4 linked regions of the Saccharomyces cerevisiae S288C genome follow. The protein of the gene in region 2 interacts with the protein of the main gene of each other region in a biochemical or structural test. Each region holds a gene or a part of one and is shown on either strand. Other genes may lie near its edges.

The links.
Region 1: the proteins of MCM6 (region 2) and SLD3 form a complex in vitro, tested with the Saccharomyces cerevisiae proteins (4 studies listed by BioGRID, with this or other methods).
Region 3: of the proteins of MCM6 (region 2) and CDC7, one has a biochemical effect on the other in vitro, tested with the Saccharomyces cerevisiae proteins (7 studies listed by BioGRID).
Region 4: the proteins of MCM6 (region 2) and CDC45 form a complex in vitro, tested with the Saccharomyces cerevisiae proteins (5 studies listed by BioGRID).

The regions. Positions count from the first base shown.
Region 1 is NC_001139.9:292,762-301,476, reverse strand, and holds SLD3 (Sld3p), read right to left. Parts: upstream 5,546-8,715; coding exon 3,539-5,545; downstream 1-3,538. Other genes in the region: ribosome biosynthesis protein NSA1, read right to left, coding at 108-1,499; TATA-binding protein-associated factor TAF6, read left to right, coding at 1,749-3,299; YGL114W (uncharacterized protein), read right to left, coding at 5,840-8,017; AMP-activated serine/threonine-protein kinase regulatory subunit SNF4, read right to left, coding at 8,476-8,715. UniProt on the Saccharomyces cerevisiae protein: Required for loading and maintenance of stable association of CDC45 with chromatin during initiation and elongation of DNA replication. Also involved in temporal regulation of origin firing. Required for the association of PSF1 with origins.
Region 2 is NC_001139.9:114,825-124,652, forward strand, and holds MCM6 (MCM DNA helicase complex subunit MCM6), read right to left. Parts: upstream 6,084-9,828; coding exon 3,030-6,083; downstream 1-3,029. Other genes in the region: ARO8 (bifunctional 2-aminoadipate transaminase/aromatic-amino-acid:2-oxoglutarate transaminase), read left to right, coding at 1,235-2,737; EMP24 (Emp24p), read right to left, coding at 7,870-8,481; YIP4 (Yip4p), read left to right, coding at 8,767-9,474. UniProt on the Saccharomyces cerevisiae protein: Acts as a component of the MCM2-7 complex (MCM complex) which is the putative replicative helicase essential for 'once per cell cycle' DNA replication initiation and elongation in eukaryotic cells.
Region 3 is NC_001136.10:422,517-427,294, forward strand, and holds CDC7 (serine/threonine protein kinase CDC7), read left to right. Parts: upstream 1-1,692; coding exon 1,693-3,216; downstream 3,217-4,778. Other genes in the region: ERP3 (Erp3p), read right to left, coding at 317-994; trans-2-enoyl-CoA reductase (NADPH) TSC13, read right to left, coding at 3,486-4,418. UniProt on the Saccharomyces cerevisiae protein: Serine/threonine-protein kinase. Needed for the initiation of DNA synthesis during mitosis as well as for synaptonemal complex formation and commitment to recombination during meiosis. Required for HTA1-HTB1 locus transcription repression.
Region 4 is NC_001144.5:340,983-349,501, forward strand, and holds CDC45 (DNA replication initiation factor CDC45), read right to left. Parts: upstream 4,960-8,519; coding exon 3,007-4,959; downstream 1-3,006. Other genes in the region: MIM2 (Mim2p), read left to right, coding at 343-606; ERG27 (3-keto-steroid reductase), read left to right, coding at 828-1,871; APC9 (anaphase promoting complex subunit 9), read right to left, coding at 1,988-2,785; LCL2 (Lcl2p), read left to right, coding at 5,603-5,998; tRNA splicing endonuclease subunit SEN2, read right to left, coding at 6,065-7,198; REA1 (AAA family ATPase midasin), read right to left, coding at 8,024-8,519. UniProt on the Saccharomyces cerevisiae protein: Required for initiation of chromosomal DNA replication. Acts at the origin of replication. Also has a role in minichromosome maintenance.

The sequences.
Region 1 (8,715 bases), 180 kb from region 2:
TATGTAACGTATTATAAGTTATTCAGCGTCGCGTTCAGGAAGTGCTTTTTTTAATAATTTTTCCCGCCGACTAGTAAAACTTTGCCTTCAATTAGCGTCCTTTACTATTAAATTTTGCTTTTCTTACTGGCTTTAGAAGCAGCTACCTTTCCCTCCAATTTATTCCAAAGCTCATCTGCGTCTTCTTCAAGTTCTGTAACCTTCCTTTTTTGCTTCCCTTTGGCAGCTTTCGCACTTGGACTTAGTGGCATCTCGATTTCAACGTCATCCAGCATAACAATAAAATTTATACGGGACCCAACATAAACCTTCACCAGCATTTTGTTAGTTTTTATATCGAAGATCCGAACATACCTATCTAAACCACCTTGTAAAAGATATTTGCCGTCATGTACATGAATATAGGTTGACGAACCAGTGATATCATCTCTACCCACCTTGCCCAACATTCTTCCATTACCATCGAATTTAAAAACATTCTTTTTGTAGTCAGTAGTAATCACATTCAGTTCATTAAAGGTTTCAGATTGAAAATTCCCCAACGAAGAGACAACATTTTCTCCCTTGGCATCAAAAACTTCCATCTGAGATAATGGTTCACGGTTAGGTAATAAATCTATCTGAGCGAACGGTTTTCTGCCATGTTGTGTGCTGTATTTGGTGAGGTGGGACCAACGGGTTATGGCTGCAAACTGGTAGTTCAGCTTACCCTTTTCAGTTTTACCAGGGGAGGGCTCCAAAAATCTTAGGGCCATGGGCCATACTGGGACTCTCATATCCAACCTGTCGTTTTTAACATTCTTGGCTTCCCAAATTTGCTTTAAAGATTGGAAACTCGAATCTATTTCCACTAATTTTATTAAATTCTCCTCCCCTCCGTATGCAAATATATATTTATCAGTATCGGTATCTTCTAGATCATATAACTGAAGAAATTCTACTGGTGCTTTCAGTCCAAGGGATGCTAGTTTTATTAACTTTTTATCTTCTCCTTTTTTTATAATATGTAATAATCCCGATTTGGTAGCAGCTACGAATGTGTTATTCGACGAATCCTTTTTTATGGGACATAATGTGACAAAACCATCCACCAACTTGGTTCTTTTAACAGATTTACTTGAAAGTGATTCCAATTTGGCATCATCAAAAAGGTCTGAAACTGAGCTGGTTATCTCAAACTCGGATATGTCAAATTTGGGTAGATCATCGGAAAGGCTCTTTTCATTTTTGCTTTCTCCTTTGGGATCGACCTGGAGAGCTTCATTTTCTTTAAGGTGTTTCGAAATCTTTACAAGTTCGACGACCCCTGAATTCCTTGCTAAGATGGCTTCATCTTCGGATATCACCCACATCCTGTCAACGTAAGCTTTCAATCCTTCGGCTAGATGAGGTGCCACATGAAAAGGCTGCAGTGCTGATTGTACGGAAGTGTCAGTCCCGATGTTACACAAAACTTCCTTTATGGATCCACTATCCACACAGCTGACTAGTAACCTCATTTTACGATCGAAGCTGGGCCTATTTATGGTTAAATTTTCTCTGTATTATGTTCATTGAAGTGAGGCTTCGAGATTGGGCATCGCTTTACAAAATTTTTCAGCTTTATTTTATTACCAAAAAAATACCCGGAAACCATCAATAACAAACACCGATTCAAGTAGCAGCAAAAGTAGTTCATGAGCGAAAACAATAGATTGGCTTTAAAAAGGAAGCAAAGGACGCCTCAGTGTAGTTGATAGCCTGTTAAAATGTCTACACAGCAGCAATCTTACACAATTTGGTCTCCACAAGATACTGTTAAAGATGTCGCTGAGTCGCTTGGGTTGGAAAATATCAACGATGACGTGTTGAAAGCACTTGCTATGGACGTTGAATACCGTATTCTAGAGATTATTGAACAGGCAGTCAAGTTTAAAAGACACTCTAAAAGAGATGTTTTAACTACAGACGATGTATCGAAGGCCCTGCGTGTTCTGAATGTGGAACCTTTATATGGATATTATGATGGCTCTGAAGTTAATAAAGCTGTATCATTTAGTAAGGTTAACACAAGTGGAGGACAGTCGGTTTACTACCTGGATGAGGAAGAAGTAGATTTTGATAGATTAATAAATGAGCCATTACCGCAAGTGCCTCGTCTACCAACTTTTACTACACATTGGCTAGCAGTTGAAGGGGTTCAACCTGCCATAATCCAAAATCCAAATTTGAATGATATAAGGGTATCCCAACCACCATTTATTAGAGGTGCTATTGTCACTGCTTTGAATGATAACAGCCTCCAAACACCTGTAACGTCGACGACAGCAAGTGCTTCTGTGACGGATACAGGCGCCTCTCAACACCTGTCTAATGTTAAACCAGGACAGAATACTGAAGTCAAACCTTTAGTGAAACACGTTTTATCCAAAGAATTACAGATTTATTTCAATAAGGTCATTTCAACCTTGACAGCGAAGAGTCAAGCTGATGAAGCTGCACAGCATATGAAACAAGCAGCTTTGACTTCACTACGAACTGATAGTGGCCTGCACCAACTGGTTCCATATTTTATTCAATTTATTGCCGAACAAATCACACAAAATCTTTCCGATTTACAATTGCTAACAACAATTTTGGAAATGATTTACTCTTTACTAAGCAATACTTCTATTTTCCTGGACCCTTATATTCATTCGTTAATGCCTTCCATTTTAACCTTGCTATTAGCAAAAAAACTTGGTGGATCACCAAAAGATGATTCGCCGCAAGAAATTCATGAATTTTTAGAAAGAACGAATGCACTACGTGATTTTGCCGCATCTTTGTTGGACTATGTATTGAAAAAATTTCCTCAAGCATACAAATCCCTGAAGCCAAGAGTAACTAGGACACTGCTAAAGACATTTTTGGACATAAACCGTGTTTTTGGGACTTACTATGGGTGCTTAAAGGGTGTATCGGTACTAGAAGGTGAATCCATCAGATTCTTCTTAGGAAACCTAAATAATTGGGCGCGCTTGGTATTCAATGAAAGCGGAATAACTCTAGACAATATAGAGGAACATTTGAACGATGACTCCAATCCAACTAGGACCAAATTTACTAAAGAAGAAACTCAAATCTTGGTTGATACTGTAATTAGTGCATTGTTAGTTCTAAAAAAGGATTTACCAGATTTGTACGAGGGTAAAGGTGAAAAAGTTACGGATGAGGATAAGGAAAAATTGCTAGAGAGGTGTGGTGTCACTATTGGATTTCACATTTTGAAAAGAGACGACGCAAAAGAATTAATTAGTGCGATATTTTTTGGCGAATAGTGAGAATCGGTTTATACTAATAGTACAACGGTAATGTTATATAACAGTTTTTACATACGCCATTGTATGTATATATATATATATGCATGATGAGTTATTTAATTGTATACTCAAAGGCCCCCGAAGTGCGAAATTGTTGTAGCTTAGTTTTATTTTATTCCCTTTTCGTCCAAGAAAAGCTACAAAGATGGAGTTGGGTCAACTACTTGCCAGCGAAGGTGGTCTCGCAGTTTCTTATTCTATGTGGATTCTGGAGCAAATAAACGTCTTCTTACTCTCCTTTTTGAGCTATTTTCCGGGGGCTTATTAGTGGGAGTAGAGGTAATATTGGAGGTATTTTTTCTGCCTTCATGCGTATCATCATCCTTGAAATTTAGCGGCGATTCAATGATGCTTTGAAGTTGCGCCTTTTTATTAGGTGTCACAGTTCTTTTTTTCACAGCAGGAGTGGCTTGAACTTGTACGTTTTCCTCAGAGTCTACACGTTCATGTAGGCGTATCGTTTCATTGATATCTTTACGTTTCCCAACTCTGCGAAAAGAGTTATTCATAGTTTTGTATGCATTAATAGTTGAGTGCGAGAAAGGCGTTTTGAGTGTGATAGTTGATGAATTCGGTACTCTTGTTGTGCTTAAGTCAGAGACAGAAAACTGCCGTTTTTGTAAATGATTCATCGTTAGATCAGACTTCGTCCTTCCCAATTGTGAAGGGCGCTTTAAGCTTCTAGTTTCACTTTCGAGAAATTCATTCAAGTTAGAGTTCGTTCTAGAATTCAAAAGTTCAGGGGTGGGCGAAGCTATAGATTTTCTGCTGAACAAATTAGCGTCCACCCTTCTCAATGCGGGTGAAGATGGGACGGAATTAATGATTGAAGAGCGAGAGGCACGTTGACTCGTGGATAACCTGTTATACGTTTCTACAGTATTAGGTGACGATACATTTGTGCTATCGTTGACCTTTTTCAGGGCTCTCTTTGGTCTCATGCTTGGTCCCTTGAGCTTTTGAATTATAAATTCAACGGCGTGTGGTACCTTTTTGTTGAAATATGGAATAAGAACATAATTTATGAACCCAACCAATGAGGCTTCTTTGCTTTTGTCTAGGATATTTTTTTTATGCTCTTGTATTGTTCCATTTGATGCTTCTATGGCATCTGGGTTGGGCGTTTCACTTGATAGTAGAATGTCCAAGATGCATGCTCTATCTAAGTACAAGTCTAACTGTTCACAATAATCCAAAGATGTTGTTATTCTCTCGATTCCTTTGTCTTTTTCGCTGGTTTTTTTCTTCGATCTTCGACGAACTAATCCCTTTTTTGTCAAATTAAGTGATCTTTTCTTCAATTTTAATTTATACTTTTTCTCAAAATCTCTAAAATTCCAATCTAAATCGTTCAATCCTATTATCTCTAATAGCAATAATATTTGTAGCTTTATTTCGCGGGATTTTAATACAACACATAAATCAGCAATGGTTGAGCTGTTTTTGTTTTCATCTTGGATAACAAATTTTGTGAGACAGTTCTTCCTTTTTTCATCTGCTATGGGACTAGAAAAGGGCTCTAATAAAAGCCTGTTATCATGTCTATCTTTGAATTGTACAATTGAGAGAAGAAATTTTTGCAGCATGGCTTGATAGGCTATTTTGTAACTGTCACTTCCGTACTTGGTTCGGCAGGTATTTTTGAGCCTTACTAAATTTGACTTGACGAAATATGCGAGAGGCGTATGTATGGAAAAAAGAGCATCATAATACTTACTTTCTATGTACTCTTTAGGGTCTGAATAGTAGTCATTAATTTTTGATTCGCCTTTCATATCTGGGGGATTCATATCCAGTTTAAGGTCTTTGTCCTTCTCAAGCTTACACGAGCCCTTGGGTTCTTCTGACCATAAATGAAGAAGCTCTTTAAATTTCAATTCGTCCCATGTTTTTAACGTTTCACGCTTAGCTCTTTCTCTTTCAACTGTCGTTACAACTTCCGTACGCCTTTCTGGTAAGCTGTAACCATTGAAATAATTGTACGGCCACTTAACCCAAAATCCTGGCCCATATTCCTCTAGTAGAAAATACTCTTTTCTTGATTTCATGCAGATGTGTTTCAATTGACGTCGATTCTTCTGTTGCAGTAATTGGAGAATGTTACTGGGCACGTCCTCGGATTTAATAATAAGTGGATGATCTAAGCTCAAGTCAAGGCCTTTTGTTGCTTCTTTTACCGATGCTATGACTTCCCATGTTTCCATTATGAGAGGTCAGATCGTTCCTACCTATACGATCTTAACCCTTCAGCAGTTATGAATGAGGCTTCTGCCTGTTTTAACAGTGCCCATCACTTTTTTTTATTTTTCTTAAATGGACCATGTTGTACACCAAGATAGCCGATATTTCAAGGTCGCGTATAATATAACATTTTGCCTAGGATTTTTGTCACCTAGAAATATATATACAGGGAAATCTAAGACATCGAATTATGTGATGAGTAAATAATTTAAAATTTGTAAACTTTGTAAATTCTTTATTAGTAAAATATTATATACCTAATAGTGAGGGACATTTAAGCAGATGAAGAGCATGTTTATTACGCTAAAGATACCTTCACCTAAGACCAACCCCGAACTGAATACAATCATTTTTGTTTTCGCATTTAAGTCACCCCTATGATTCTTCAACCAAAAATGCGAAGCCCACCCGCCGATGAATCTTGCAATTGTAAAACTGGGAGAATTAAATATACCAACACCGACTGCTACACCAGACGGAATATATAATATCCACCCGTATCCGTAATCTCTATAAGTGTTTCTGATTAATGATAAAACGGCAAATATGACTCCGAGAATCATGGAGCACTCCAAGGCCTTATCAGGGAGCCCTTTACCAGTTACTAGTCTTGCACAATCTATCCACACTACTGCTGTCGGTATCCTGAATTGCTCACTCGGAATTGAATAAACTTTATTGTAGCACAAATACATGAAGCTAGACAAAATAATTGACCAACAGGCCCCTATCAATTGGGCACAGAACTGAGCTCTTGGGGAGGCGCCGAGGAGGTGCCCCGTTTTCAAATCCTGCATTAAATCGCCCGCCTGTTGGGCAGAGGCTTCTGCAATACCTCCCGATACCACGTTCATTAACACTGATCCAGGTCTATCCCTTGGTATGATAAAGGCAAAAATCAATTGAGAGATCTTACCAATGCCGCTCACAGGATTCAGATCGGTCTCTCCAAGTGCTCGAATACCGAGAATAGATAGAAACAACGCAAGTATCAAAGCAGTGATAATAGCATATAGGGGAATTACTTGTATCCCAAACAAATATATTATGGAAACAATGCATATTATCGAGGAGACTAGACATCCACTGATAACGGTGGTATAGCGAACCAAATGCTTCGAATCTACTTCTATTTCGTTATCTCTACTCACTAATCTTACGGTGTCCTGCCTTCCATCAACATATGTATTTCTTCTGCTGCTATTAATGGCGCGTTCCTCCTCCAGTAACATAGATTGAAATGTATCATCGATTATGTTGTTCAGTAAAGCAGCTTTGTCATCTATAAGAATAAATTTCACAATGGACTTCACTGTCACAACAATAAAAGCGACTACACTGTCAGCAACCATTATTGAAAGCGACGACCAAAGAATCCATCCTTGCACTCCCTCCTCCCAGTCGTGGACATCAGCATCTGGTGGTACCCATCTTTTGTATCTCGCCAATGGTGCTAACACACCCCAGCCTAAGAAGCACCCGATAAGCATATACGATACTGTTGGAAGACCCATTATTATCCCTTGGCCTATATACGCAGGCGACGGCTGAAAATTCCAGAGATAATTGTTCGAGAGGTATTTTCCGAAGACTGGAATAGACCGTATTACCGGTACAAAATATGACACCATGGTGTAAAGCGAAGAAACAACAAAAGTTTTCAATAAAATAATAATATTCGCTCTGTAGTTCTCAGAGCCAGTAGAAAGGATAGAACTTCCATCTTGGCTAGTTGCCGTATAATCACCAAGTTCGCTATGAGAAGAGTTCATTAAATAATCCGCCTCCTCTGGATCTCTGTTGGGTTGTAGCACTTCAGGGCATTCATTCAATCTCCTCTGCCTCATTTCCAATAACTCTGACTTAGAAACCTCTTGTAAAATCTCAGTTCCATTTAGCACTGAAATTAAAGTGGCCGTGGCGCTACCACTGGGGAAGGGAAGTTTCTCTCTAACAATTACTTGCTTTCTTAGAGGAACTGCAAAAAAAATACCGAAGAATGCTAGGGCTGTGGACCATATTAACAATTCTCTAAAAGTGAAGGACTGTCCTTGTTCCCTTAATCCACCACTTTCGTCGTTAGTAAGGAACTTCTCGATGGCAGGTATGACGCCGACAAACCCAAAGGCTAATGGGCCTGTTCCGACAGCTACTGCCATACTTTGTACGTATACATTTTCAACGTCACTGAAAGGCCTGTCGTTCGGAAATATTAATGGCCAGATATTTTTAAAGAAAGCACAAGCTAACAATGCCGATGGCAGGGACATCATGGAAACCCAACCGGTTTGCAGGCCAAATTGAAAATTTGATGTTAGCACCAGAGACCCTATAGCGATACCTGCTATGGTTGCTCGGAGTGTTATCTGCTTCAAAGCAGGTTTATTATCCCATGGTACACGCTGTACTTCTTGACTTGGAGTAGATTGAGGCATTTCAAAGTATTTACAGTACCGATTTAGAATCTTTAACGGTTAGTCCTCTATACTGTGACTCTTTTTCTTCCTATCTTGGTGCGAAAATAAAAAAAATGATGCCTTGAGATAGATCTCACGAAAAATACCTTCTACGGCGTTAAATTTACAGCTTTTCTTTAGCTGCCTGTACCTTTTTGATGAACTAATTTATTTTGGTATCAACAGACAATACTACAAAAGGCTTTGCATTATCTTCCTTCACCCTTATATGCAGCATTCCCCCCTCCCAGAGATCGCATCAGTATCATTACTAATCGATTTTTCACTTCGCTTTATAACCGAATTTCCGCCGAATTATACCCAAAATAAGCAAGATGAAAATATATTGGTCAGATGAAGTATGCATGACTGATTAATCATGACTTTATTAGTTGCATTTATTTATAGTATGTACACAAAAATCTCATCGGCTCGTTTCAGTTGCTACCTAGAAGGATATATTTGAGAATATCGCTTAACGTCAAGACACCAACCAACCGTCCGACGTCATCAACTACAAAGAATCTATGCACCCTTGCTTTTCTGATGTTATCCATAATAGTAGATAATTTATCATTCTTAGTGCATGTATAAACACCCTCAAAATCATCACTTCTCCTCATAAGGGCTTCTCCGACGCTCAATGACAGGTCGTTGTAGATGCCTCCTTTTATCAA
Region 2 (9,828 bases):
TTTTTCCACATTGTTTTTCGGTTCCGGGCTGCAGTAAGCAAATATAAATGTTGGTGACAAAACTTGAAAGTTATAGCCAAAAAGCTCGCAATTCCTCACCTAACAAAATGATCCTGTTGGAATAAAAATCAACTATCGTCTATAAACTAGTAGTCACACTACCAGTATATTATCATATACGGTGTTAGACGATGACATAAGGTATGAGAAACTGTCATCGAAGTTAGAGGAAGCTGAAGTGCAAGGATTGATAATGTAATAGGATAATGAAACATATAAAACGGAATGAGGAATAATCGTAATAATATTATGTAGAAATATCGCTTCCCCTTTGAGGATTCCTCTACCCTCGAGGAGAACTTTTAGTATATTCTGTATACATAATATTGTAGCCTTGATCAACAATGAAATGCCTACAATCATCTTAAAATTCACCAATCTCTCAGCTCTTATTTAAGCTTTGTTGAGACGAGAGTTAGTTATCCGACAATACTATACAAGACATTAACATCATTTTTCGTGCTGTTAGGGTGGTGTCTTTTCATTTGTTGCAATAAATGATAAGTAGTTTACCGTCCATTAACATGTGCATTAAATAATAGCATTATGTGAACATAATGTATATTTAACTAAAACTATTATCGAAGAAATCCGAAGAACTCATCCTTGTTAGCTCAGTTGGTAGAGCGTTCGGCTTTTAAGCGCATTTGCTTAAGCAAGGATACCGAAATGTCAGGGGTTCGAGCCCCCTATGAGGAGTTCTTCTTTATTTTTTTCCCGGTTCACTATTTTTCCAAGATTAAACATGGCTCATATACACCATCCAAAAATCTCTTAATTAACCTATAACCATTGTTCTCCTTCACCTCATTCAAGAATCTGGCTTCTGAATTGCCATTGATAGAAGAACAGTACTAAATTGCGCCGGAATAATGAAGAACATCCGGGTTACCTTAGATGTCTTTTTTTCCTTTTTTTATCACATTTTTCACTCTGCACTTTTTCACTTTCTCGAGGTCCAATCTATGACTAATATTAAGCGCATTTCATTTGAAGATATGTGTATCGCAATCTTTTTTCTTATCTTGTAGACCCTCCTATACACATCTCTAGACTATATATTTGGTTTGGTTATATCTTTAAGAACTTATTTCTTTTTCTTATTTTTCCATTCCACTAAGTTAAACCCTGCAGTTGATACAGACATTGAATAGGACAACCGATCGTTACTATCATGACTTTACCTGAATCAAAAGACTTTTCTTACTTGTTTTCGGATGAAACCAATGCTCGTAAACCATCCCCATTGAAAACCTGCATCCATCTTTTCCAAGATCCTAACATTATCTTTTTGGGTGGTGGCCTGCCATTAAAAGATTATTTCCCATGGGATAATCTATCTGTAGATTCACCCAAGCCTCCTTTTCCCCAGGGTATTGGAGCTCCAATTGACGAGCAGAATTGCATAAAATACACCGTCAACAAAGATTACGCTGATAAAAGTGCCAATCCTTCCAACGATATTCCTTTGTCAAGAGCTTTGCAATACGGGTTCAGTGCTGGTCAACCTGAACTATTAAACTTCATTAGAGATCATACCAAGATTATCCACGATTTGAAGTATAAGGACTGGGACGTTTTAGCCACTGCAGGTAACACAAATGCCTGGGAATCTACTTTAAGAGTCTTTTGTAACCGAGGTGATGTCATCTTAGTTGAGGCACATTCTTTTTCCTCTTCATTGGCTTCTGCAGAGGCTCAAGGTGTCATTACCTTCCCCGTGCCAATTGACGCTGATGGTATCATTCCTGAAAAATTAGCTAAAGTCATGGAAAACTGGACACCTGGTGCTCCTAAACCAAAGTTGTTATACACTATTCCAACGGGCCAAAATCCAACTGGTACTTCCATTGCAGACCATAGAAAGGAGGCAATTTACAAGATCGCTCAAAAGTACGACTTCCTAATTGTGGAAGATGAACCTTATTATTTCTTACAAATGAATCCCTACATCAAAGACTTGAAGGAAAGAGAGAAGGCACAAAGTTCTCCAAAGCAGGACCATGACGAATTTTTGAAGTCCTTGGCAAACACTTTCCTTTCCTTGGATACAGAAGGCCGTGTTATTAGAATGGATTCCTTTTCAAAAGTTTTGGCCCCAGGGACAAGATTGGGTTGGATTACTGGTTCATCCAAAATCTTGAAGCCTTACTTGAGTTTGCATGAAATGACGATTCAAGCCCCAGCAGGTTTTACACAAGTTTTGGTCAACGCTACGCTATCCAGGTGGGGTCAAAAGGGTTACTTGGACTGGTTGCTTGGCCTGCGTCATGAATACACTTTGAAACGTGACTGTGCCATCGATGCCCTTTACAAGTATCTACCACAATCTGATGCTTTCGTGATCAATCCTCCAATTGCAGGTATGTTTTTCACCGTGAACATTGACGCATCTGTCCACCCTGAGTTTAAAACAAAATACAACTCAGACCCTTACCAGCTAGAACAGAGTCTTTACCACAAAGTGGTTGAACGTGGTGTTTTAGTGGTTCCCGGTTCTTGGTTCAAGAGTGAGGGTGAGACGGAACCTCCTCAACCCGCTGAATCTAAAGAAGTCAGTAATCCAAACATAATTTTCTTCAGAGGTACCTATGCAGCTGTCTCTCCTGAGAAACTGACTGAAGGTCTGAAGAGATTAGGTGATACTTTATACGAAGAATTTGGTATTTCCAAATAGAGAGGTAAATACGTTGGAAGAATATATATAAGGTGAAAAAAGGACGTACGTATTTTTGTATTGCTTAAATTTCGAAGTATTTTTTCTTTTTGTAAAAGACTGCAAGTGGAAGCCAAAATATAATATTTTGTTTTTTCATTAAGAGTACAACTTTATACAACAATTATAACTTGATTTGAGAGCCAAGTTATGTAAGATATTTTTCTCCCACAAAGAGAAATGCACACGATAGGAATTTACAACGTGAACGATACTTGAAACGAAATATGAAAATCCGCAAGAGTGCACTGAATTAGCTGGAATCCTGTGGTTCCAATTGATCCAAAACCTCACAGTTTGGATGAATAACATAAACAGTTTTATTATTTTCATTTTCCTCATTCTCAAGATCTCTTAAATTGTGTCTGGTACCATGAATCTCCATTAAAATCCTATCTTTGACCAACCTTTTTATGACTTTGAACGCTAATCTTCTCTCTTCCCAATATTCTGCTAACGAACCCAAATCATTTTCCTTCTGTAATAAATACCAATCAACTATATCCACAGCTGTTAGTTCTTCTGCACCCTCCCTATCTACTTCAGCAATCTTTCTAACGATCATGTTCATCATGGACACATATTTATCATACGTCACCGTTGTTTTCTTCTTCTCGCTTGTACCTGGACGAGCTGTAGCTTCGCTTTGTCCTTCTTCTATATCTGCTGGTGGCTCACTCGTAATTACACCTGACCCAGTCCCATCATCATTGTCATCATTGTTTCCAGAAGCGGCGTGACTTTGACTCTCTATGTTATCAAATTCTTCATCCATTTCCACATCATCCACATCAACACGAATAATACTTTGCCTTAAAAGATCGTAAGCTTCTGCAATGAATGATGGAGTAATTTCATCGACACAATTAGCCCTCGCAATAGCTTCTGATAATCTAATCATACTTTCAAGTTGCCTAACTGTGATTCTATAACTCGATCTACTAAATCCCTGGGCATCATCCTTTCTCAGTTCCTTATACTTCTCGACTAAATAGGAACGGGCTTCTTTCGTTAATATTGGTTTAAAAGTACGTGCATATTTGATATAACGACGTAGTTGTTCTGCACTAAATGGCGGCTCAATGGCTTCGTCTCTTTTCATGTGTAAGTCAACGATATGAGATGCCAATTCGGTATCAATTTTTTCGTTACAGTCATCAAGAATAACAAAAAATAAATCAAATCTGGACATGATCGGTGCGGTCATATTTAAATTACCCCTCAGTGATAGTTTCCTATTGTATCTTCCACCTACCGGGTTGGCAGCCGCTAGAATTGATGTTCTTGCATTTAAAGTAGCGTGAATACCAGCTTTAGCAATAGAGATGGTCTGTTGTTCCATAGCTTCATGAATGGCAACTTGATCTGAAATATCCATTTTATCAAATTCATCGATACAACAAATACCGTTATCAGCAAGCATTAAAGCACCTGCTTCAATTGTATAATCACCTCCTTCCTCATCTCTCACAACCGCAGCTGTTAAACCAGCAGCCGACGAGGCCTTACCGGAAGTGTAAACTGATCTTGGTGCAAATCCCACTACGTATTTTAAAAATTGAGACTTAGAAGTAGAGGGATCACCAACAACACAGATGTTGATATCTCCTCTTAACTTAATACCTTCTACAGTACTCTTATGAACACCACCGAGCATCTGAAGCAAGATACCCTTCTTTACGGCTTCATGGCCAAACACAGCTGGAGCAATAGATCTGACCAATTTATCATAAATATGTTCATCCTTTACCATTTCCTTCAGCTCATTTATTTCATCTGAACTCAAACTGTTCAAGAATACTTCTTGATCTCTTTCATTATCTTGGTATACATTATTAGCTTGTAAATTAGCAGCCATCTGTAGTTCAGTTTCTCGGTTGTTAGAATTTGCATCAGGGCTACTTGCACCAATGTTTGATCCAATACTGATAACATGGCATGCCAGAAAGCTAATCTTGTATGTCAAATCACGAACACCAAGAGAGCGTAAACCAGTAACACCACTATTCAAACCTTCAGTAGTCTTCGAAATACCTCTAGTATCTAATGTTGAACTTGGCTTCACACCTGGTAGCCCCAATTGTGTAACATCAGGTACTACAATTTCCACACCCGTAAATTTGCAACGGTCACCTGGCTTGGCTCTTTCGACACTATCACCTCGAAGAATGACGTCCAGCGTACGCGGCATGGAGCCTGTAGGTATTTCGTTAGCATTTTCTTGAATTCTGACTTTTTGCCAATCAAGAAACCTGGATCTTGTAACATTTAATGTCCAAAAGGCTCTATTTTCGCATGATGGGTTCGGGCAAAATGTCGGTTCAGTGTACTTGAAGGACTGTTCTACGTTATCTACGATAGCACGGCACATATCACACGTAAAGCTTGCCTTGTATAATTCTGGACGGACCTCAGATGTTCTTGTCACTGTCCCTGATATACTCAATAGTGAACCAATCTTTTCAGATCTTATATCACGAATTCTGTGAACTGTTGGTAGATTGAAGAAACTGATTTGAAAAACACGTTCCGTCTGTTCAGGTGACGTAGAAGTTGTTATTGACCTCGTTGCCATGGCAGATGTCCCATTCCCTGGTGCGGCTGATGATCCAGAATCTCTTGGTAGACTCGACCCATTCATATCATCGTCCTGTTGCTCATCTTCATCCGCTTGACCTTCGTCACCTTCGGATCTCTTCAATGAGTCACTTGTGTTTAACAATTCAGGTGCATACTTTCTTACTACTCTTCTTAAACCCTTTTGTAAAAAAGGCAAAAATCTGTAATATTGTTCTGAGATAGCCATAGCTAGAGCACCATTTTCTCTCATGGATAAATGCTGATAATCTATATAAATGGTGTTTAGGTCATATATTTTCATAAATTCAATTTGAGCTCTATAAACTTTTTCAACTTCACCAGTATCAGTGGATTGAACGGAAAAGTCTTCCAAAAACTGCTCGAACGCTTCACGGACTTTTTCACCAGTAACGTCATCAACTTTCTTAACGTGATTCAAAGCTCTACTTTTGAAGCTTCTGGCAGGTTCATTTCCCTCCATATCATTAGTCGCGGAACCATCGGTTTGCAACCTTTGAGAACTAAACTGAGTGGAATCGTTAACAAAAGGGCCTGTTTGTGAATTACTGACATGCGGTTGAGAAGAACTTGGGAAATGTAACCTAGAGCCTATTTGCGAATCGAGTCCGCTACTGCTTCCGAAGCCAGCACCTATCGACGATGGTGGCGGAGAGGAGTTGGAAGGTCTATTACTGCTTGGTGTGTCAGCTGGAAAAGGGGATGACATTGAAAAAAACCAGTTTTAACCTTTGGTAAGTCTATTTTTCCTATCCACCGGTGGCGAAGTGTAAGATACTCGCTGTAAATCACTTAAGAATGAAATATTTTGTTATTATTGTAGATTAAAGAAAGAAAAAAAAAAAGCTTCAAGAAAGGCCTATTAGGCGCTTTTCCTAAAAAGGAAATTTAATAGACGAACTTAGATGACAATACCAAATAGCGAAGGAACGGCAAAAGAATAGGTACACAAATGTTATGAGAACTGGAATCAAAACAAGCTATTGTTTGTCGACGAATAGTAATGTTACTAGTATATTATGTGCGGTGATAATATGATATAAATCGCGAAAAGGGTAAACCCAGTAAAAACTGAAATGCAAGATAAATAACGTAATGGGGTGATGTATGATATCGTATAAAACACAAGAAAGGATAACAGCACTATCATGCAAAATTGCTTATTTCTGGTATATTCTGGATTCCGAATGACACTTCCCTTACTGGAAAATCGAATTCAAGTGACCATTTAAATGGTCACCTATTTCTCAGGATGACCGCTAATTCTTCTCATCAGGGTTTCCCAAGTTGTTAGCAAACTGTATTGATATCTTTTTGCGGGAGTGAAACCAACTATTCAGCTCAGTATCGGATTAATCTCTCCACTTAATGCTACGGAGTTCTTCCAAACATTAGTACTGGTGCCAGTATCAGCACCACATCAACAGGTGAACTCAAAATTACATTAGTCAGGAGCAGTACACCCGTTAATCGTGGGAATCTCTGTACTGAGGGTCAACTACGTATCGCGGAACTAGGGGTCCACTAGTGTATGCGACTGCGATTCATATAACACTTTAACGTCAAAACCGTATACAGTCCTCATCCGCCTTGGGGGCCAGCATATTATATATAAAAACTCCTGAAAAACACTTACCCAGAGGTACGATAATGAATGACGCTTATGTGATTTATGGTTAACGCAGTACCCAAGACAAGTATGCAGCGTTAACTCCCAATCAAAGAAAATATAGTGGATTCTAATCTGACGAACTACGGACAGTAATTGGTATTTTTACTCATTAGTGACTTTGGTAATGCCCTATATTTCACTAGAAGGTGTCACAGTGTCACAAATTTTACATCACAGTTCCCTTTCGTAAGATCAAGAATATGGCTGACTATAGTGGACATCTTCTTACACCGTATATAGTAATATATTGCTAATATGAGCACTAGTTGATTCTTGTTCCAACAGTATATTCCAAACATGTGTTAATCACGCGTTGATACAATGTGGCTCGGCTACAAATCAGTTATTAACATCGTGAGCTATGTTTCCCTGAAATGGGGACGTTTTCCAACGAATTAGCCTTGTTGGCGCAATCGGTAGCGCGTATGACTCTTAATCATAAGGTTAGGGGTTCGAGCCCCCTACAGGGCTATTCTTTTTTTGTTCTATATGAACAGAGCTATTTCCCTTCTAAGAGTCCCACATAAAAGTGCTCTGGGGAAAAACGGACCACAGCATGTCCTGTGGTACTTGTTTCTTTCAAGTTTTTCGTATGTATTTCCCATTTTTTGATTCGCTACAACCTGTATTTGTTTTATGGCGCGCCTGGACCATATATATGTATATATTTATTTACATGTAATTGGCACAGGGAAAAACAGTGGAAGGATCAAGGTAAAAAGTATGAAACCGAGAATTATTCGCGACTTCAGGTTATCCAATCGTGTATGTAATCGTATGTAGGCAAAAGTAAATAGATATGAACTACATTTTCCTGCTTTACTTAGACTAGAGATGTGACCTCAAAGAATCTTCTCAAGTAGTATATCTGGAAAAGAGAGTTTGCAATAACGACGCCCAATTGGAAGATGGACCACCATTTAACACGATCGTTGGTCGACTCTGCAGTATTTCTATGCGTCCTTTCTCTAATAACAATATAACTTTGTTCGTCCTTGACTTCCCTGGTTAATTTGGACAACTTTCTGACAGCACTATCCAATGTATTGGTGTTTGGGTCGTCCAAATCCACATATACCACCCCATGAATGTTGAAAGTCACGTCTTTTGTCTCGATACCGGTGTTCTCGTTCAAGAAACAGTATTGGAAATGTCCCTTGTATGGAGCAGACAATGTGATTTCACCGTGCGACGTGTCCCTAACCGTTTTCAAAACTTCATGTCTTTCCGGCCCGTAGATGATAAAGTCACCAGTCAGCTGGCTACTGGATTGAGGGTTTCTATCACCGAACTGGAACGAAATGGAGAGCTCGTCACCCTTACTCAAGTCTTCGAAGAAGCATCTACGGCCATAAGCTGGAAGAAGGACATTATGGGCGGACGCCGAGAAGAACAGGAAGCAAGCAATGACAAACTTAGTAGCAAATGAGGCCATCCTTATGCGTGTGTATTTTTGTGCGGAGGGATACTATTAAGATTGCAGTTTCACCAAGTATAGCTTTTTATTTCATTATAAGTTTCGTGTCAAAATGTTTAAGCGACCCGATCTCTCAGGCTGTTTTGCACGACTTTTCTGACTTTCCTCGCGTCTTTTTTCATGAAAATTGGATTACCCGGAGTGATGATTTTCTCACAGTGATTTTTCGTCCCCTTTTACAATAGCAAATGAAGCTGTTTTAGCAATATTTGTAGAAAGATATGTCACAAGAGGGCAGGCAAAATGTCATACGGAAGAGAAGACACTACGATTGAGCCCGACTTCATAGAACCAGATGCACCTTTGGCTGCTTCCGGGGGTGTTGCTGACAACATAGGCGGAACTATGCAGAATTCAGGCAGCAGAGGGACGCTCGACGAGACTGTGCTGCAAACACTAAAGCGAGATGTGGTGGAGATTAATTCCAGACTGAAACAAGTGGTATACCCGCATTTCCCCTCATTCTTTAGCCCCTCTGATGACGGGATAGGGGCGGCTGATAACGACATTTCAGCCAATTGCGACCTGTGGGCGCCCCTTGCGTTTATCATATTGTATTCTCTATTTGTATCGCATGCGCGGTCGCTGTTCTCGAGCCTATTTGTGTCTAGTTGGTTCATTTTGCTGGTGATGGCATTGCATCTGAGACTCACCAAGCCACACCAGAGGGTGTCGCTGATTTCGTACATCTCCATTTCCGGGTATTGCTTATTCCCACAAGTGCTGAATGCCTTAGTCTCGCAGATACTACTTCCATTGGCCTACCATATTGGAAAGCAAAATCGCTGGATTGTGAGGGTCCTGTCGCTCGTGAAACTGGTGGTCATGGCGCTGTGCCTGATGTGGTCTGTGGCCGCCGTTTCGTGGGTTACCAAGAGCAAGACCATTATCGAGATATACCCTCTGGCACTCTGTCTTTTTGGCATGGCCTGGTTGTCAACTATTTTATAACACTAGTTACATATGTATAAAACCCAATATCATGGACATAGAATTGCCTATCTCGCGAGCCACGGCAGAAAGTTCTGAAAAAAAAAAAAAAGAGGACGCTCACAGGGGCTGGCGTGTGGCTAAGGCAGACTCCGTGGAGTGTAAGAGAAGTTCAAAGCAAGATTAGGCTTTCTGATGAATTGGTAGCGCAGAGTCTGGCAAAGTCTATTTCAAGTTCACAGCGTCCGTTTACCACAATTGTTTGAGAACTCTTCTCCTTCCTGTGCCTATAGCCACACTTGCAAACATTACATGGTGAAGGCGCTTTAGAGACTTTTCTGTTTTACTATATATATAAGATAACATAGCGCGCGT
Region 3 (4,778 bases), on a different chromosome or scaffold from region 2:
AGCGAGTTGATTGACTGCAAGTGTAATTAAATAGGTGGAAATTGCATGGTGCATATGCCAATGGCTAAGAAAAAATTACTCTTACAAAGATTATTTTGTCAATTTCTCGAAGAAAACAATGCTACATTTTGAAATAGGATTTTTTAAATCGTGACATGTGCTTTAATAGAAACGTCACTTCAGCTCTGTCATTACATAAGATTTAACATGAGCAAAAGGGCTATTTTGGATACGGTATGTCATTCCTTTCCCCTATTAAATATGAAGAACATATATTCTCAAGTTGATAGAAAATGCAGGAACAATACACAACTATTTACACATTATGCTTTCTCGATTCTCTGAAAATGAACTCCAGTATGGCAATTTGAGCGCAGCTCATTCCGATGATTAATAATATGCCGTAAATAGAAAACATTACAATTCTATGCTCTGTTGAACAAACGGTGTGATGATTTCTGGTGTTTCTGCTTTTATAGTACTGTATATTACGTTCCAAAACGTGGAGCTGCCTTTCTATGGTGTCTATAGAATTTTCCACACTGTCTTGCAAGGGATCGGTTTTAGAGTCTCTCAGGTTTCTCTGCGCCTTTCTCGCCTTGCGTCTTTCATTTCGAATATCATCTTGGCGTTCACAATTGTACTTGAAGTCCAGATCAACAATCTTGTCGTGTGCTTTACCACCATAAAAGCAGATAGCATATTCTCCCTTATGTTGGCCTATAAATGACCATTCACCTTGACGTTCACCAGATCTCTCGATTATTGGCTTGTTTTTGTCATCAGGAGCAAATATTTCGTAGTTAACATCAAAGTCATTGCTCTCTCCTTGCTGTACTGCAAAATAATATGAGATTGTACAGTCAATTTCCGGAGTTAGCGTATATAAGCACTCCTTTCGACCTTTATTCAGTTCAAATGTCAACGGTGATGCCTCAGCAAAAAATTGTGCTAAAAAAAAAAACTGGAAGAAAAGTACACATAAATTGGACATGACGGAGTTTTTTAGTCAGTTCACAGTGTCCCTTCAAGTACGGTAACTATCAAGAGCCTTACCAGTTTCTGTCAAGATATTGTCCCCCCAAATTCTTTCATTGAGGAGAGGATTATGAAGAACGCGTTCTGTTTTAAAGAGAGAAAAATTCAGGTCAGGACGCGTTGGTCTCACCTTTGTTGACATAATGACCATGACAGTGTAGGAAGTCTAAGTAGTATGTGGAAACCTACGCGATCATACTGATACGTTCGTAAACTTTATCAACGAACGACGCTTTTTTTTTAAACCTCTATATAAGCATGTTTTTAGCTTGGGAAATTAAGGTGTAGCCCTGGTTTTGAAGATAATTAAGAATCTAATGGGGCAATGCTTGTGTAGATGACATTTTATAGAGTAAAATTACTTCCCGTTTAGCTCGATAAACGCCTTAGGCCTACATAAATCTTAAACATTTGTCCCCGGTCAGCTTTTAAATTATGTCTTCTTTGCCCTGGGGCGTCTTCTTGAACGGCATCAATTTAGTGAGTAGAAGAGCACTTCACATTTCCGCCTAAAATCAATGCAAGAACCATTAACAAAAAAAACCGCTCAGCAGGCGTAACGGGAAGTAACAGACTACCTTAAATTTTCAATAACAATTGTGCTATTATCTAATTTTCTTAGGAAAGAGGCAGTTTCGAAGTAGAACAATCATAATGACAAGCAAAACGAAGAATATCGATGATATACCTCCAGAAATCAAAGAAGAGATGATACAGCTCTATCATGATCTACCGGGTATAGAAAATGAATATAAACTCATAGACAAGATCGGTGAGGGAACATTTTCGTCAGTGTATAAAGCCAAAGATATCACTGGGAAAATAACAAAAAAATTTGCATCACATTTTTGGAATTATGGTTCGAACTATGTTGCTTTGAAGAAAATATACGTTACCTCGTCACCGCAAAGAATTTATAATGAGCTCAACCTGCTGTACATAATGACGGGATCTTCGAGAGTAGCCCCTCTATGTGATGCAAAAAGGGTGCGAGATCAAGTCATTGCTGTTTTACCGTACTATCCCCACGAGGAGTTCCGAACTTTCTACAGGGATCTACCAATCAAGGGAATCAAGAAGTACATTTGGGAGCTACTAAGAGCATTGAAGTTTGTTCATTCGAAGGGAATTATTCATAGAGACATCAAACCGACAAATTTTTTATTTAATTTGGAATTGGGGCGTGGAGTGCTTGTTGATTTTGGTCTAGCCGAGGCTCAAATGGATTATAAAAGCATGATATCTAGTCAAAACGATTACGACAATTATGCAAATACAAACCATGATGGTGGATATTCAATGAGGAATCACGAACAATTTTGTCCATGCATTATGCGTAATCAATATTCTCCTAACTCACATAACCAAACACCTCCTATGGTCACCATACAAAATGGCAAGGTCGTCCACTTAAACAATGTAAATGGGGTGGATCTGACAAAGGGTTATCCTAAAAATGAAACGCGTAGAATTAAAAGGGCTAATAGAGCAGGGACTCGTGGATTTCGGGCACCAGAAGTGTTAATGAAGTGTGGGGCTCAAAGCACAAAGATTGATATATGGTCCGTAGGTGTTATTCTTTTAAGTCTTTTGGGCAGAAGATTTCCAATGTTCCAAAGTTTAGATGATGCGGATTCTTTGCTAGAGTTATGTACTATTTTTGGTTGGAAAGAATTAAGAAAATGCGCAGCGTTGCATGGATTGGGTTTCGAAGCTAGTGGGCTCATTTGGGATAAACCAAACGGATATTCTAATGGATTGAAGGAATTTGTTTATGATTTGCTTAATAAAGAATGTACCATAGGTACGTTCCCTGAGTACAGTGTTGCTTTTGAAACATTCGGATTTCTACAACAAGAATTACATGACAGGATGTCCATTGAACCTCAATTACCTGACCCCAAGACAAATATGGATGCTGTTGATGCCTATGAGTTGAAAAAGTATCAAGAAGAAATTTGGTCCGATCATTATTGGTGCTTCCAGGTTTTGGAACAATGCTTCGAAATGGATCCTCAAAAGCGTAGTTCAGCAGAAGATTTACTGAAAACCCCGTTTTTCAATGAATTGAATGAAAACACATATTTACTGGATGGCGAGAGTACTGACGAAGATGACGTTGTCAGCTCAAGCGAGGCAGATTTGCTCGATAAGGATGTTCTCCTAATATCTGAATAGCAAAGTGATAAATTACTGCTAGTCTGAAATAATTTCCTTTTCTTTGGAAAGAGAATTTTAAAAGTACTTACATATTTGCATAGTGAAAGATTTAAATAAAAATTTCTTAAAGTGAAACGGTTTAGCATAATTGGTGGCATGCGCTTAAGATAGTGCCAAATACCAAAAGGCACAGGTGCAGACGATACTTAAACAATAGTGCTACTACGCCACTTCGTGAAAGCTAATATCTCTTTACCTTGCATTTGGGCATGTTGCAAACAGGAGGATCAAAATACAAATGGAATCAAGAATGCTCTTCTGGTATGATACTTTTTGTTTTTCTTTTGAGCCCATGCGTACATTTGAGCTGTTGAAACAGTCAAAAATAAAACGGCAAATAAATTGAACTTGAACACAAAAGTAAACCAAATCCAAGACCAAACTTCAAAAGTATAGTTGGGAGCAACAAAAAGATTGAAAATACCTTGATTCAATGGGACACGGATCTTAGCGTTACCATGCTTCTTTTGATAGTCACCCCATAGGCGCAATTTAATGTGGCAATAAAAGTTCCATAGTTCTGAAAGCACGAAAAGACCAATTAATGTACTCAAGTCATCCAATTTCAAATATGAATAGTATTTGAATAACTTAGCATTCCCAAAGGGGAAGCCGTAGCCAAAGTAACCGAATGAAATGAGACCGCTTAGAACCCAGTAATGGAAACAATTTTTGAACAGGTTGAAAATTGGCATAGTAGCTAAAGAGAATTGGTGAACAAATAAGGTTTCAAATAATCTCTTTCCATAATGTCCTAAAATTAAAAAATATGCAACCCTGTTTAAAAATGGATTATAGTCGGAGCTAGCACTGTGCCATCTATCAACAACTGTGGGAATGGTAGATAGATAATAAAAAAGGGAGTGAACCAAGACTGGACCCAAATACTCACAAAAGAAGACTAATCTCCATGAAATTTGGGGACCCAAATCTTTGATGAAGAATTCCATTGAGTCATCAGCCTCTTCTTGAAAAAACGATTCTGAAATAACCGGAACTTGTTTAGATTCCTTTTTGTAGGTTAATCTTATCCTGTACTTGCTGATATTGTGGTTATTAGCAGAGATTTTTTTCAAAACATCATCTAAAGTAGGCTTTTTGGATAAGTCAATTTCAGTGTCCCTTAACCCTTTAGAGCGGCTTTTTATGGTGATAGGCATTTTCAAATTAAATTCAAAATATGTATCTCTCTCAAATAGCTCAATTGGTTTCTAGATAGCTAAATAGAATATAATCTTACTGTCCTCCGTTCTGTAAAATTCACGCTCTTAGTCCCTTTTCATAATTCCTTAACTTTTTGCGTACAAAATGATATGTTTATTATATTTTTCTTTTTTTTTTTTCAAATTTTTTCTTTTTCTTGAAAAATTTTTCAAATTGGAAAGCTCATCTCTCTTGAATGTATAATACTTTCTTCCTCTAACTTTCAAAAAGTTTTACATAGCCAAGAAGTTTTCCTTACATCGGTATACTACTGTTATATAAGTTATTCTTCGAGAAACAATTAGATATCATTCATC
Region 4 (8,519 bases), on a different chromosome or scaffold from region 2:
GACCTGCGAATATACTTCTACTACTCCACGTACAAAAAAGAGCACGCTGCTTTATTTATACTTTTGTGCCACAAGAATGATCAACATCAACATAAATATCAACTAGTATCTGCAACACATCTGCTCCACGGAACTAAACCCGTTGAGCAGTGCCCCGTGGAAACGTAAACTATCGCAAATTGGGATTAACAAGCCAAAAACAGCCAAGCAAGATTCACGAAACCGCGCCTCGTTTGGACCCCGAAGGCCCATTTAACGGCCGGCCGTTACAAGCAAGATCGGCAGAGCAAACCACTCCCCAGCACCACAGCACATCACTGCACGAGCAACAATAACTAGAACATGGCAGATAGCGAGGATACCTCTGTGATCCTGCAGGGCATCGACACAATCAACAGCGTGGAGGGCCTGGAAGAAGATGGTTACCTCAGCGACGAGGACACGTCACTCAGCAACGAGCTCGCAGATGCACAGCGTCAATGGGAAGAGTCGCTGCAACAGTTGAACAAGCTGCTCAACTGGGTCCTGCTGCCCCTGCTGGGCAAGTATATAGGTAGGAGAATGGCCAAGACTCTATGGAGTAGGTTCATTGAACACTTTGTATAAGTGTTTGTTGTTTATGTATCCGCATATAGCAGTTATAACAGATAAATGGCACTTTTCGCACACCCGTTGTTTTATCTCCGATAGTACGTGGGCCTTTATTTATGGTCGTTTAACGAAAGAACGGCATCTTGAATTGAGCAGGTATTTAAAAGATAGGACGAGAAACAAGCACATGATCTGTGTCGAAAAAAAGTAGCAAAGAGAAAAAGTAGGAGGATAGGATGAACAGGAAAGTAGCTATCGTAACGGGTACTAATAGTAATCTTGGTCTGAACATTGTGTTCCGTCTGATTGAAACTGAGGACACCAATGTCAGATTGACCATTGTGGTGACTTCTAGAACGCTTCCTCGAGTGCAGGAGGTGATTAACCAGATTAAAGATTTTTACAACAAATCAGGCCGTGTAGAGGATTTGGAAATAGACTTTGATTATCTGTTGGTGGACTTCACCAACATGGTGAGTGTCTTGAACGCATATTACGACATCAACAAAAAGTACAGGGCGATAAACTACCTTTTCGTGAATGCTGCGCAAGGTATCTTTGACGGTATAGATTGGATCGGAGCGGTCAAGGAGGTTTTCACCAATCCATTGGAGGCAGTGACAAATCCGACATACAAGATACAACTGGTGGGCGTCAAGTCTAAAGATGACATGGGGCTTATTTTCCAGGCCAATGTGTTTGGTCCGTACTACTTTATCAGTAAAATTCTGCCTCAATTGACCAGGGGAAAGGCTTATATTGTTTGGATTTCGAGTATTATGTCCGATCCTAAGTATCTTTCGTTGAACGATATTGAACTACTAAAGACAAATGCCTCTTATGAGGGCTCCAAGCGTTTAGTTGATTTACTGCATTTGGCCACCTACAAAGACTTGAAAAAGCTGGGCATAAATCAGTATGTAGTTCAACCGGGCATATTTACAAGCCATTCCTTCTCCGAATATTTGAATTTTTTCACCTATTTCGGCATGCTATGCTTGTTCTATTTGGCCAGGCTGTTGGGGTCTCCATGGCACAATATTGATGGTTATAAAGCTGCCAATGCCCCAGTATACGTAACTAGATTGGCCAATCCAAACTTTGAGAAACAAGACGTAAAATACGGTTCTGCTACCTCTAGGGATGGTATGCCATATATCAAGACGCAGGAAATAGACCCTACTGGAATGTCTGATGTCTTCGCTTATATACAGAAGAAGAAACTGGAATGGGACGAGAAACTGAAAGATCAAATTGTTGAAACTAGAACCCCCATTTAATATATCTCTGCGTACATATGTATATATATATATGTGTGTATATACATGTATGTCTGTATAGAAAACGCATATCAACTGATATATATACACGTGAAGCAAAAAAGGCATTGCCTCTGTCAGAGAAACGAACTATCCTCGTTGCTATAGTGTCTTCTGCACTTATCGCGTAGACTTTCTATTGGCACTCTGTCATGGCATTTAATCTTGTACACATTCTTTAATTCTTCTTGCAAAAGAAGGTACTCTTCATGCAAATGATGACTTTGGAGTGAATTGACTAATCCTGAGTCGTTCCAGAAACTTTTTAAGGCGTTCGTTTCATGATTTATTATGTCATCCAACCGTCTCATATTAGGTTTCGAATTTGTTACAAATTCTCGCCTTGATAACCTCTCCAGGTCTTCTTTGTTGCATCCAGGTACACTCTCTAACAACATTGAACCATTGCCCTCCGGATTCGCACTGTCATATTTATTAGCCTCTTCGCCGCACATGATGTCAATATCGGGTCGATAGCTGTCTATGCCGTCTAGATGGCCCACCTTATGAAACACAAGACAATGTGCTGCCCTTTCGGCTTTCAAAAAACTGTCAATTCTACTTTCCCTTAGCGTATTGCGCTCACAAAACGGTGAATAATCGTATTGCTTTTCTTCCTCGATGTGGCTCAAAGTATTCAGATAGTCGACTTCGTCTACGTCCATATTTATCCCATAGAGATCATCTGCAGTCCTCTCCTCTAGTACTTCGCCTGTTATGGGCATCGAATCATCATTTATTACCCTTGTCGACCTTTTCCGTAGCGGTGTGGTAAAATTGTTAAAGTTGGCTTTGTTGAACCTTGGTGTTTTCCAGGGCGGCAATGACGGTAGTTGAAACAACTTGCCTTCGTTCTTATCACCATTTTGGTTCATCTTACTTTGTCACAGCTATTTCTTTCCTTCCTGAATTTGTCCTTCCAAACCTAGTTCCCTGTTCTTAATTTCCTTTTATTTAGGTTTTTTTTTTTGTTTTGTCAAGAGCCGCGCACAAAATATGGTATTATTATAGAAAAGTTGGACTTAAAAGCTTGAAAAAGCTTAGATTTTATATTCATATGCTGGTATATATGTACGACTAAATAATATAAATTTGATTATAACAATCCACTCAAGGTCAGCTTCTCCAGGAATGGTGAAAGATCTTCACGACGTATTTCAATTATGGAACTTTCAAAATTATCTATTCTCACTTTAGCATCCGTTTCTGCAGTTATTTGTTGAAACGCCATGCTGAAATTATTCAAAATAGGTTTTTTTGTGTGTATCGTGTCTAGTCCGCGAGGATACCTAGGTGTTAACCCAGCAACCAAGTAAGTGTCCGTATTTTCATCTATGCTGGCAAGCACCATGGGCAACAATTGCTTGTCTTCAGATTCCGCACAGCATTCTATGAGCCAATTTCCTAATCTTAATAACGTCAATGGGTTTCTGTACAAGTCTAAATCGGGTCCGTCTTGTAAGACGCATAATCTATAAATTCTTAAATGCTTGATTAATTTCTTCTCCAATATAGCAACCCCGGTATTAAAAATTGCTCTCTGTAAGTCTTGTGCTAGTTGAATGCCACGGTTTAATAGTTCCACCTTTCTGTCATCTAGAGCATCCCAACTGAGCCAAAAATTCGAAACCCATCTTTTTCTCAAATTCGTCAATTTTTGAGCGCTGTTATCTTCTTCTTCCTCTCCATCTGTATCGTCATTATTGTCATTATTTATTTTCACACTATCCTTATCAGTTGAATTACCTACTTCCAAAAGAGCTGTTAGTGCTTCGACAAATTCACTGGCACTTATGGACCCACGATATCCAAGAGTTCTAACAAACCCATCTCTAATTATATCTTGCAACCCATAACGATCCAAATTTTTGTCAAATATTATCCCAAGTTCTCTCTTAATAGAATGATCCATGTATAACCATGTTTCTTGTGCAGTACTTAATGGTATACCCATTCTAGCAAACATCTTATGCAATCTCTTTTTCCCATTTTCATTCCATAGGGATAGTTTGGCATTGACATAGTTAGAATAATAAAAACTGTCGTACAATGAAGAATGCCTCAGTAAGAAAAGGTAGTAATCCGGTTGGATGTTTAACGTCAATGTATCAGGGGTCTTTACTGAGTTTCTACTGCTTGGTGTGAGACGCTTCACTTCATCTTGCAATAAGGGGTATAATCGATTGTAAACTTGAGCATATGCTATATCTAACGAGGTCGTACCAAGTATATTCAACCACAGGTTTGAAAGATTTGTTTCTCCGATAGCAGACAATAATGAATAGATTTGTGCAGATATCGAGTTAACCACTGTTGTGCCTTGAGAATAGTATTCCTCCAAAACACCTTCATATTCATGGATTTGCTTCTTTCGTTGCTTTCTTTTTGAGAGATCATTCGGTCCTATTGAAGAATTACCTCTTTTATTAGATATTGTCTCATCTTCGTCTTCTTCGTCCTCGTCTGTGACTTCATCGGCATCAGTTGCCTCATCGTCACCCCCATTATTATCGTTCTCGTCACCTGAGAGCTCATCGTCACCACTCTCCTCGTCCAGTTCAAGCAATTTATAGTATGCTTCTTTTTGTTCGCCTAATGTGTCATCCACCGTACCGTCGTCAAAACATTGGATGATTTGTGATCCAAATATATTGTCGAGATTCCACGGTCTATGAGCATCCAACACGTAGATGTCTCTCCTGAAACTTTGTTCCCCCGACTTTTCATCTGTATCGATAACATACTCTTGGGGATCGATTTCTAAGAAAGCCTCCAGATCAATAACGCCTCCAAACCCTACTAATAGCAGACTATTTATATTGTCATCCAATTGAGAATAGTGGCGTCGTAATTCAGAGTACCCAAATATCGGTACTATTTGAGATTGTACCAATTGTTTTTTGAATAATAGTGACAACATCTTCGTCGCACACAGCGCATCGATGTTAAGACAAGAAACGAAAATGACCAATTGACATGATGAATGAGACGATGAATTCCTTAAGATTTTGTTGTAGGCTTCGCTAAACTGGCTGATTCCATAATACATGTGCGAGAGTATATTCTTGTTATTATGTGCCTTCTCTCTAGTGTTTATTGCTACACTTTTATTGCTCTATAGTGCGTTGTATAAAGTAGCCACAATGGATTGTTGGCATTACTACAGCTTCATTATTTACTGAAATTTCTTAAAACGCGTTAGATGATATGTTGAAAAAAAAATACGCGTCGTGAATGAAACTTATTAGGTTTTACGACTAGTTAAAGCAAGAGAGAGAAGATCGAATTGACTAAATGTCTTCACTTTGAATTTATTCTAGTAGGATTCGCATGGCTTTTTCATAATAAAAATCTCGTTTATTTATGCTTTTGGTTGGTTTTCCTTTGATAAATGCGGCCCTTGCTTTGTTTGTGGTTGCAACGAGTTCGTCAAATGATAAATTGACGCTTAACACAGACGCATGGGAACCACGTAATTGAATTAATGTTTTCTTCTCGAAACAATTGCAATGTGACTTTCTTGTTAGGCAATGTGAGATGAAAGATGGCCTTTACCTTTGCAGATGTTTGGGTGTGGCTCTGAGCTGTCCTTTATAATTATAGAGATAATTTTGATGAAAGCTCAGAAGACCTTTAATGACGAAAAATAGGCATGGTTTGCCAGGCAAAAAACGACCAAATTTTACTGTAGTATGAGTCAAAGTCGCTGGAGTATCGTTCTCATCTTTGCATTGTTTATTTTTGGCAGCACTGGAGTGAATGCCTTCTTCAATTTCGGTCATCATCAGCAACAGCAACAGCAACAGCAACAATCATATGAAGATCAAGTTTTAAATAACCCTTGTGATGGGTATTTGTGTCCGGACACCCTAACGTGCGTTGCACAGCAGAAAGACTGTCCTTGTCCCTTCCCTAAATCTCAGTTGAAATGTGTCCTTCCTGATAATAAATTTGTTTGCATATCCAAACCAGCCACACACAATGAAAAGTTTAGAGCAATATATGATGACCCTGTCAAGGGCCCCAAAGCAAAGAACAAGGGGTTTAGGGATTGTGGATGGGTATCAGATGCTTACAAAAACCATTGAAATCTGTATAAAAAATACATACACATACATATATACATACGAAGGATTTATCTTCTCATTGATATTCTAGTCTCTATTTCTTCCGGGAACCCATCTCTTATACAATACTTCACCAACTTGAAAACTATTGAACAATTTAGTAAAGTTGTTTGATTTCCATAGTGCTATCGCCTCCTGTTCCGAGATTAGTCTCTCCACGTAGCATAACACAAACGTCTTCTTTGCGCCGCCCACAACACGGGCTATGCTAGAATACCACGTATAATCTTTAGAGACGTCGTGGTCAAGACCCATAACACAAAATTCAGCGTGTTGAAATGGTGGCCCTCTCTTATATAATAAATAATCGCAGCCGAATTTTATACCAGATCTTACGCACCAACCGTGTGATCTGTAGTGATGGTATATAACGTATGATCTGACAAAGGAGTGAATATCTTTATATTTGGCATCGAATTGAAACAGTTTCCCTGCCAGGCACGCGGGAGATATGTCAAGAACAGGAAGTGCAAAAGTTAAAAACATAGCTTCCACTGGCATTAGTTCTAGTGACTCTAGTGGCAAAAGATCACCGTTCTCATCAAGAAGATTGTTGTCTTCATCTCTTAAATTTGATTCGGAAATGTCTTGCTGTTGTGCAACGATGCCCACGTCTTCTGTTTGTTTTAGTTTAAATTTTCTTAATGATTCTCGTTGTTTCTCAAGGAGGATGTTTTCCTCATCGATATGACCACCTTTTTTTCTTAATTCTAGTAATTCTCTTTCTAACTTCGCACGTTCTTTCTTGAACTCTAATCTTTGTAATCTCCTCTGTTGTGTGACCTTCTCTAAAGTCATCTCCGTTTCAGTATTACTCTTTGTTCCTCCCCGATTGTGGAGGGGAGTATCATTGAGACCCAGTCTGGCCTCTGTTCTAGCTTTCCATGTAGGCTCACTCCTGCTAAATTGACCAGTGCCAAAAAATCCATTATTCCAAAGATATAGCATTTGCTTGTCATCTTGAACCGTGATGTGAAGAGTGGTATCTCCTATAAAATCTACATGTACTTTATCGTTCAGTGCGTTCGTACTCTTGTAATAGCGGTATGCCCAATATAGCCAAGATAACGGATTATGAAGGATTAACTCTGGAAGGTCATCTACGGGGTGAATTGGAAGAGGATACTTGTAACGCTTCTGATTGACCCTCCCTTTAGACATGCTCCTTCTTGAGTCCTTCGTACTTATTGTCTTTTCAGCGTCGTGTTACAATGAAACGTTTTAGCATATTGAATTTCGATGGAAGTTCAAATGTTTTATGCACCGAAATGAAATACTAGAGCAAAGAGATGTTAGTGAAAGCACCAGCTAATATAGCTCTTTCAAATTTACGTGAAAAAGTTATGTGTGGCAATATAAATCTATAGCAAGAGTGGCTTCTATAAAACATTTTTGACAAGAAATAAAATTCAGATACCGTTGTAGTCTTGAGAAATCATTGTGCTCACATCGATTAACTTCGAGCAACATAAATCATGCTATCATCATTAAAATAAAGTGGAAGTATTAAGAACAGATATAATAGCACGAGAAAAAACTCGTTCAACTAAGTCTAGACACACCTCCTGGTGTTATTTAGTCCGTTCTCTTAACAACCAAAGCCTACGAGCTCTCAAACAGCTCTTTTGTTTTAACTTCCTATAGAACTGAATGGGAAACTTGCATCTTGAAGAAAATTTTTCTCTTTAAATATCTGACTGAAGTATTGATCCCTTCAAAAAAAAAAAAAAAGAGAGTTGGTTACCCATATGGGAATAATATTTCTTAGGGCTAATTGACAAAGGATTGCTAACAGAAAATGCAAAGGACTAATAACTTGAATCATTTTTATATCAGGTTTATATAGGTATACGTTCAGTCTAATTAATAATTTATAGTTTACAGTAGTTTTTTACAGTAGTTTTTTTTTTTTTTTTTCAGTTCCATGATTTTTTTGTTCCTTTGATTCGTGTAGTAAACCTCCTCTTCTTGGTTTTCACGATATACTTAGCTGGATGCCAGGTCTGTAAAGTATTGACGCAAAATCAGTGAAAGCATTTCGGGTAGTTCGCTTATATCGTGTACAACAACATAAAATTCAAAAGGAAATGTGTCCAAGTATTTGGTAATCTTTAATTGCGGATTGCCATACTGATCTGGAATGTAGTTCACTTGGCTCATGTCTAAGATGGATTCATTAGAAGTAATACCATCTATGATGACAAAAACCAGCATAATTTTGTTTTCTCTAGCACGGCGGACCAGTTTTTGTATTGTTTCATGGTCTTCGCAAATACCATCAGAGATTACAATTTCTAGTTGCCATTGGTCATTATGTACCATAGCGCGAGCACGTTCAAAAATTTTAGTAGATTCAGCCACAAGTTTCTTAACGTCTGTTTTAGTTTCTTGGAAACCAAACCATTGAAAAGCTCTTGCGCCAGATTCGTTACTAAATTGTTGGTCAAATGAGTGAACTTCTTTAATATTTTCACCGAATTTG